Callithrix jacchus: one gene and its partner. The protein of the gene in region 1 interacts with the protein of each later gene in a biochemical or structural test. Links are inferred from orthologs where the notes say so. Each region holds a gene or a part of one and is shown on either strand. Other genes may lie near its edges.

Evidence for each region. The genes of interacting proteins can lie anywhere in the genome.
Region 2: the proteins of RBPJ (region 1) and SPEN form a complex in vitro, tested with the Homo sapiens proteins (2 studies listed by BioGRID and IntAct). The link is inferred for Callithrix jacchus from reciprocal best matches to the Homo sapiens genes RBPJ and SPEN.

The regions. Positions count from the first base shown.
Region 1 is NC_133504.1:167,409,086-167,412,995, forward strand, and holds part of RBPJ (recombining binding protein suppressor of hairless), read right to left. Parts: intron 3,760-3,910; coding exon 3,604-3,759; intron 3,241-3,603; coding exon 3,137-3,240; intron 2,965-3,136; coding exon 2,649-2,964; 3' UTR 1-2,648. UniProt on the Homo sapiens protein: Transcriptional regulator that plays a central role in Notch signaling, a signaling pathway involved in cell-cell communication that regulates a broad spectrum of cell-fate determinations.
Region 2 is NC_133508.1:53,273,151-53,278,122, reverse strand, and holds part of SPEN (msx2-interacting protein), read right to left. Parts: coding exon 1,170-4,972; intron 306-1,169; coding exon 1-305. UniProt on the Homo sapiens protein: May serve as a nuclear matrix platform that organizes and integrates transcriptional responses. In osteoblasts, supports transcription activation: synergizes with RUNX2 to enhance FGFR2-mediated activation of the osteocalcin FGF-responsive element (OCFRE).

The sequences.
Region 1 (3,910 bases):
TGTGGTATGAGAATGGCCAAAAATAAGTGGGGAAAAATGCCTGTGTAAGTACATTCTTGGACTTTTCAAAAAAAAGAGAAAGGGGTTTACAATCTAATATTTCAATTATCTTATTGAAAGAAAACAAAATGAGACATAAATGTTTGTTAAAAAAGCACAAGTTCATTTTAAGAAAGTCATGAACTTGAAAAATTATTCTTGAGCTACAAAGCTGGGTAAGGAAGAGTTTGTTCTTCAAAAGTATCTCTTCTGTTATTGGTTAATTTAATATGATTCCTTAACTAAATACCAAACCGAGGAAGTGGAGGAAACTTGTGGCCGTTAAAAGAAAAGCAGCACTAGGAACATGTTCATGCTCTGAACAAAAGCACTGCGTAATGACTCCTGCCATGACTCCACAGAGAGGAAGAACTACTACTCAGAAGTAAGCGGTCTGTAAGTAAGAGACGGTGAACAGTTACGACAAAGAAAGATAAGGCCACAATGAGTTCTGCCCTTGATCACTGAAACAGATTTAAGGTGTGAGGCAGGATTAGCTTATAATAGAGAAGCGAGTGACTGGAGCAGATCTGAAGAAAAAAGGCGATATAGAATAAAATACAGCCCGGGGGGTGATTAAAAAGGCTTGCAGTAAGAGAAAACCGCAATAACTGATTTAACCACCTAACGTGCTTTACGAATGACTTTCCCCTTGAAAACCGAGGAAAAGGCGATTTAAAGATGTCAGGAAGAGTATTTACAGTGGCATAGTCCGAGCAAAGAGTGAGTGTGAAGACAGCAAAGCTGAAGAAAAAATGATACTACTAATAATTTCTAAAAAGTCTATTAATGAAAACTTTTTCAAAACAGCCCAAGACACCAGAAAGACAATGTTCTGTACAGAAACGCTGAAGGAAGTTACAGTTTTGCATTCAAAAGGTACTGTGGCTCCTGTTTTATGGGACAGTAAAAGCTTACCACAATCTAGAGGTAGTTTTTACTCTAAGAAGGATGATTGTATTACGAGACTGTGTCATAAACATTACACACATGGTTCCTGTACTAAATACAGCCCAACGAGTCTGCTGCAATTTCAAAGAAACCAAACAAAAGTATAACCAACGTTCAGGAATGAAAGCGAGGTAAAACTGGCGAGTTTAGCATGCAAGGCCAACATACAACCCTGAATGCAACCAAATCTCAGCTGAAAAGAAAAGAAACATTTTCTGAGTTAGGAGACATTTGCGGAGATGCTCAGTATTAGAAAAGAGAAAACAAACAAAAAAAGGCAGAGAAAGAAGTGAAAACATAAGTTACATTTGCATTTTATAATCTTACAACTATTTGTCTCTAAAGTACTGTCTTCCAGCTATTTTAGTTGATCATCTAATAAAAGCATCTTATGTTTTAAGATTACAATGATCTTCTGGCCTAGGCTACCCCTCCAACCCCCCCAAAAAGTAAAGATAATAAAACATGCTTTTGCTGACATTTTCCTCATTCTACCATAAGGGCACCATCTACCAACTGGTAGCAAATACTTCTCATATTTTTTGTCACTTGCCAACAAGGCAGAAAATACCCTGCTGAATGAAATCACTGGGAACATTCCAAGTTCAAAATAAAATGTTTAACTTACACATAATACAAGTTATGTACAAGATTAGGAGGGGGAAACCTGAACAAATCCTGGAACACACGTATGTATTTACGTTATGGGAAAAGGGGAAATAATACTTCAAATATCAACATGTTCTGTGCCATTAACTCATTAATGGCTAAATGGCCACACCAAATTGCATGTGAATGTTAGAACCTCTTGGACAACCATTATAAATCCTTTTTTTTTAAAGGCAAACACAGAAGTAACTACCAACAGTGTCTGAGAAGAGAGACTAAGTTAACATACATTGCATGTATTGCAGGCAAGGCAGAGGCATTTTTTTAAAGCTTTTGCACAGACTTCATATAATCTTAAAAAAAAATATGTAGGCCTTTACAAGATTTGACTTGCTGAAATCCAAACAATTTTGACTCACGAAGAGTCGTAAGACTTCAGCCGAAAAAAAAAAAAAAAGAAAAGAAAAAGTTCCAGCCTTAGATCAAAAAAAAAAAAAAACCTGGAAGAGTATGATAATTAGATTAAACAAGGTCAGGCTAGGAACCCGAATGTATTTTAGAGCAAAAGCTCAAAGGTGGGCGGGGAAGAGAACAACCTATTTGGTAACAAGGTGTACTATAATACCGTGATATAAAAAAAGGTATGGTGAAAATGTACCTTTTACTAAAGCTTATACAATATACAAGTTCCTTGGTCCATAAAAACTATGTTAGATTTGTGTCTTCTAGTTTGTTCAACTTGTATTCCAGCCACATTATTTACTTCTTGCCCATTTAAACAAAACCAAAGAAAAACCAACCAACCAACCAACAAAACTGCTGAAAACTTGATTTCCAATAGTTTGTACATTTTGATGTTTTGTTTTGTTTTACTGTGGCTTCTGCATTTCAAATCAGCACTTGTAGACAGATAATGGGGTTCTGAATAGTATCACTTGGTATGAAAAGTTTTCCCAAGAAACCACAAAAGATTGTTCATTTTTTTTCTCCTTTTTTGTCAACTGTTTGCCACACTCAAGTCAATTTAAGTCCTAGCAAAAAGACGGTAGTTAGGATACCACTGTTGCTGTGGATGATGTGACACTGGTTGAATTTGTGCTGGCGTTTGTGTAACTTCCCTCGCTGTTTGTGTTTGATTCATTAGGGGGCACCTGGCTTGAATTGGCTCGAAGGATTGCTCCTGCTGCGCTGCAGTGTGGCCGTGGCCCTGGTTCTGGTGTGTAGGTAAAGGTAAGGCTGGTGGAATAAATGATTCCATCATTTCGGACCAAAGTTACTGGAACCTGGACTGGTTGCCTGACCCATCTCCAACCTTCTCGGAATGCAGAAATGTCTGGGACGACACAGAGCATACTTTCCCCACACCTGAGGAGGAAATATAAATCACTTAAAAGCACTTTAAAAAAGCAAACTACATTTTTAAAATGAGACTTAAGGCAAGGTTGTTTAATACATTGTAATCAATGCCAGGACAAAGACTCTCCTGTACCCACACCCCTCACAACCTCTGGATGATGTAAAAAGTTTTATCAAGTACCTGTACATAGTTTCAGCTTCTACATCCCCAAACCACACTCGTAAATTTGGAGTGAAATTCTGTCCTGTAAGTTCAAGCATTGCTACGTCCCCACCGCCATTCAACTGCAATTCACAGAAAATCACAACACTGAGAAAACTTTTCATTTTTCATTAAAGTACACAAATTAGATTCATTCAACTTTCATTTGTTTTTTACAAAAAGGGCAATTAAATGATTTTTATTACAAAGCTAGCTAAAAACATTTCAATTTAACAAACAAGTTTATTTCCATTTAAATTTCCTGGCAAGTATGCTCCTTCTAATTTTTTTTTTTTTTTAATCAACAAATGGTGTATGTTAAAATCTCCAAATCACACAATTGGGGGAAAAAAATCAAAACTCCCATGAAATGAAATGATGCCAAGTCATAGCTAAGAGTAACTGCAAAGAAGAGCTAAAGGCCAATTTGGATTAGATGGTCTCACCTGAAGGCTCTCTACAACAGGCACAGGCGTGACTGGGGCAAGGACAGGGCCCATTCCCTCGTAAAATGTATACTCTGCCTTATCTGTGCTAATGATTGTCCAGGAAGCGCCATCATTTATCATCTCTTTATTTGGTTCTTTTGGGCATGGAGTGGCCTAATGAAGAAAGAAGTTTAGACACTAAGTTTTATACACTTTGTATTAATAGTATAAGAAAATTCTATCAAAGTAACCCTCAGACAAGAGTTCTTAAGAGAATTTAGTAAAAACTTAGAAACTTTCTAAAGCATGGTGCTTTGCCAATCCC
Region 2 (4,972 bases), on another chromosome or scaffold:
ACTGGAAGGTCAGGCTTCATGGAGACAGACACGGGGGAGGGGTAGGAAGTGGGGCCTGTTTCCACTTGTGCCCTCTGAACCTGGGCATGAGGTTCAGGTGGCCTGTTTGCAGGTCCAGCTGAGAGGCGAGGCTGCTCTACTCCTGTCTGGGTCCCTTTTGCCTCCTGGGACACCTGAGGCATCTTGCTGCTTGGTGGCTGGCCGGGCTGGCTGAGTTGGGAGGGTGGGCAGGGTGGTGCGGGCTGGGCAGGCTGTGTGGACTGCACAGGCTGAGGAGGCTGCAGGGGCTCACCTTCAGGAGGGCCCTGGGGTCAGGAAGGAAGGCAAAGGGACAGAGTCAGTCTGTTGTGCACAAACCCCTGCGCCCAACAAATGACCCAAAGGGCCACAGGGAAAGGGTCAGATGTGGCATCTCCTGTCAAGTCAGGCCCGCAGAAGGAGCCTGAATCAATGGAGCTGCTCTCAGAGTAAGAAGAGCTCCCTCCCAATATGCAGAGCTCCCCATGACATGATCTGATCTAATCCTTTCATCTCAGAACTAAGAAAGCTCTTTAAACTCATGAAAAGATCATCTTTAGGGATAGCTGACCAATTCACTTGTACTCACCCACTATCTTTACCAAAAGGTGGACTTTTAAGTATGGACAGTTTCACCGTGTTGGCCAGGCTGAACTCCTGACCTCAAGTGATCCACTGGCCTCAGTCTCCCAAAGTGCTGGGATTACAGGCGGGAGCCACTACGCCCAGATGCCCAGCCTGATTTTTTTTTCTTTCTTTTTTTTGAGACTGGGCAGGTCTCGCTCTGTCACCCAGGCTGGAGTGTAGTGGCATAATCTTGGTTCAATGCAACCTCTGCCTCCAGGGCTCAAGTGATTCTCCCACCTCAGCCTCCCAAGTAGCTGAGACCACAGATGTGTGCCACTGCCCCCAGCTAATTTTTGTATTTTTTTTTTTTTTTTGTAGAGATGGGGTTTTGCCATGTTGCCCAGGCTAGTCTCGAACTCCTGGGCTCAAGCAGTCCTTCTGTCTGGGCCTCCCACAGTGTTGAGATTACAGGCACGAGCCACTACACCTAGCCCTGATTTCCTTAACACATCTCTGCTTCAAAGCCTGCTGAATCCCACTGGCATATGCCCAGAAGACAGTGGGGAGACCCCTGGCTCACTCACCTGAGCAGCTGTCTTGGTCCTCGAAGGCAGGCCAACAGAAGCAGCAGCAGGAAATTGAGTGTGTGTGAGCTGGGCCGGGGTGTGGTAGGTGCGGATGTCGCCGTACCTGTATTCTTGAAACAGCTCCCCACTGGAGTGCACAATCTGCACCCCGTGGGTCACCACCACAGGGGGGGTCAGAGGCAGCCCCTGGAGTTGGTTGCTGGGGGTGACTGTGAGGATACGGGCCTCACCATGAGGAGCAGGGGCAGGAGGAGGGGCAGGGGCAGGGGCAGGAGCAGGGACAGGGACAGGGACAGGGACAGGGACGGGGACGGGGACAGGGGTGGGGGTGGGGGCAGGGCTGGGAGTGGGGGCAGCTTTGGCATCTGGTGTCTTGGCAGCTTCCTTCCCAGGCTGTTGAGGGGCCTTGCTGGCTGGTGGCACCTTCACCACCCCATCCGTGGCCCTGGGCTGCTCACTGACTGCCGTCACATGTGGATGCACCATGATCCTCACATCCCGAGGCACGGTATAGGGATGCAGCCGGTACTCAGACTGCATGACCAGGACTTCTGACTGAACAGGGGCTGTGGCTCGAGCGACGGGAAGGTGGTAATGCACTTCCTCCTCAGGAGGGTGCTGGGAGGCCAGTGCAGGCACACCAGCTGGGGCTGGCTGTGGGGTGCTGGCACGCTGTGGGGCCCTGACCTCTATTTGCTGGGGCTGCAGTGGAGCCCGAGGAGAATGAAGCGCTTCTGGCCGGATGCTGTAGGTGATGCTGGGCAGCGTGGGAGTGTTCATTCTCACCTCACCCTGGGACAGGTGGCTCAGGGACACAGTCTGGGTGATGCTGTGGGGTGGCATGATGACAGACTGCTCTGGGTGGATGCTGGAGATGAACTGGGGCACTGGAATGCCTGCGGCCAGCATGACCGTGGCGTTGGTGGAGAGTGCAGTGGATGTAGTACTGCTAGGGTGGCTTGCCCTTGGGAATGGGGATGGCCCGGGTCCGCTGGGTCGAGGAGAATGAGCATCTAGCTTTGCAGCTGTCAAATGCGAGACAGTTCGATCTGCTGGGATGCTGGGCCCCGAGGGGATGTGGTTCACTTCTGTAGGCAGTTTGCTGGGCAGAGCAGGAGGGTGGTGGGGTGTGAGCGTGGACCCCAGGTTGGCCGGCTGAAGGACCTTGGTCTCGATTTTAAGGGTGACGGGGTCAGCAAGCTTTTTGTTCGTGGTGACAATGCTTGGGGTGAGGACCAGCTGGTTGTGAACCAGCACAGGGGGCGTGTTGATGCCCTGGGTGAGAACCTTCACTGTGCCTCCCTGAGTGACAGGTGTGGACACCGAGAGGTGAATGGGCTCGGGCTTCTCTAAGGATGGCCTATCGGCCTTCACAGATGAAATCACAGGAGAGGCGTTATATGTCTGGGCGGTCAGTACCAGTGTGGAGTGGGTGGCCACATTCGCATAGCCTGCAGGAGCTTGAGGGCCTTTGAGTGGAGGCTGTGATGCCGTGACAGAATCAGGTTTGACCTGGGACTTAGACACCGACTGCTGAAATTCAATGTCCATTGCACTGGCTGGGGGGATCTGACTGATCTTGGCACTGATCCGCTGTGGGCCTTCAGTCTTCTGCCCTGAGTAACTCAGGAGCACAACCCCTTCGGAAGTGTTCACACGCAGCCCCGTCCCTGAGCCTGCGTCTGCCGGACGATCGTCGATCACAGCCATGGACCCTGGGTGGAACCGACTGTTTTCATTAGCATTCACTCTCTGTTTGCACTTTGCTGATGGTGCAATCACTGCCCCTGCCATTGTCACTGTGCCTGTTGTGGCTGTCACACCACCAGATGCAGCAGTAACTGCACCCGCTGTGACGGTCACTGCACTTGCTGTGGCATTCACTGCACCCGCAGCGGCATTGACTGTGCCTGGAGTGGCGTTCACTGTGCCCACCGTGGCATTCACTGGAGTGGTGAGAACATTCACTGGCCCCGTAAGAACATTCACGGGCCCCTTCAGGACATTCACAGGCCCAGCAGGGGTGCTCACCAAACTTTTCAGTGTGGTTACTGAGCCCTTCACAGGGCCTTTCAGGGCATTCACTGGGACCAAGGAGACATTCACCAAGCCAGTGAGGGCACTCACCAGGCCAGTGAGGGTTTGAGGAGCTGGTTTTGCCAGGGTTATCTTCTGTGAATTTTCTAGATCGATGCTGACAGGCATCCGGCTAATAACAGAAGTAATTTTGGGAGCAATGACTGGAGCCACCTTTTCCTTGTCAGCAGCTACCAGCACCTCCGAGGCTTGTGTCTCAGAGTTGTTAGTCACTGGAGCTGCTGTTTTTTCTTCTAAAGCCTTTTTAGATTCAACTGGAGGGGGCAGAGCCTCCTGTAGACAAGGGGCAGCACTGACAGGCTCTGCAATGGCCGTGGTGACACTCGTGGAAGTAACACCTGTGGCAGACACATACTTGGGGTCCATGAGAATCTTCCTCAGGGTGCTGGAGCTGGTGTCGATGTCAGAAGCCTTTGTGTCTGGGGGAAGAGCTGGAGATGGGGTGGATTGAGCCCGTGGCTCTTCCTGCCTTGTGATCCACTCTGTCACCTTAGTAGGCGGGCTCTGGTGTGGGATCCCCCCCGAGGCAACAGGAGGTGAGAGCTTTGCTGCAGTTACAGAAGGCAGCGTGGGTATGGGCATGCTTGGGTCACTGGGTGGAGTCACCGGGTCACTTTCAATGATGGAATGCACCCTGAATCTGGCTTGAGGCTCCTCATCCACTGGCACTGGCTGGGGCATTGGGGGAAGGTCTGGGGGCACAGATGCTTTGGTTGGAGTCCTTTCCTCAACACTGATTTCTTGGGACAAATTCTCTGTAGACGGAGTCTTGCCTGGGTTGGAAGTACATGACTGAGGAGGAGTGGAATGGGGTTTTTCACTCTGCTTTTCCTCCTGTGGGGCTTCAGGGTGCTGTACTGTCGTCCCCTCATTTGTAGCAGGACTCTCACCTTGAGCTTGGTCAGATTCAGGGACACGGCTCTCTACAGGAGCCACCACTTTCCTGTTTGTGTTCCGTTTACGGCGTGATCGAGTTGTCTTCTGGCGCCCTTTCTCTTTCCGAACAAGAGCAACTTCCACTTCTTTGGACCCTTTGGCTTCCGGCACCAAGTGTGAGGTTTCACTGCTCTTTCCTCTGGATTCCTTGGTATCTGCTGGGCCTGCTGAGGGGCCAGGAGCATTGACTGGTAGCCCAGAAGATTCTGTAGCAGCCTCAGTTTCCAGGATGCCAGACACAGCGTCATTGGTCTCTATTCCTTCCTCAGAAGGCTGCAGCGCCTGCGCTTGGGGCTGCAGATCTGTCTGGGATTCTCCAGGATAAGGTGGAGGTGCTGCCGGGAAGTTTTCTGGCTCCCCAGAAATGTCATTGATGATGGAGCCAATGGCCGCAGCCAGCTCTGTTTCACTTGCTTGGTGTGCAGGCTTGTCCCTGTCCTCTGAAGCAAGGCCCTCTGGTGCATCTGCCTTGTAAGCAGCAGAGGCAGAGGCCTCAGCGAGCTTTGCGATGTGCTCCACAGCCTGCTCCAGCTCCATCTGCTTGGCCAACTGCGTTGCTTCTGAGGACGGCCCAGAGGCAGACACCTCTTCTTTCTCTGGTTCCTTGTCTGGATCAACTGGATCACTTTTCAATTGGGATAAATCATCCTCCTTTTGGGGACTCTCACTTTTCTCAGGGGAGACGGCCACCACCCCAGCTTCCCTCTCCCCTGCCTGCGCTGCAGTTCCCCTGGGACTGACAGCAGCATCCACATTTTTCAGACTTG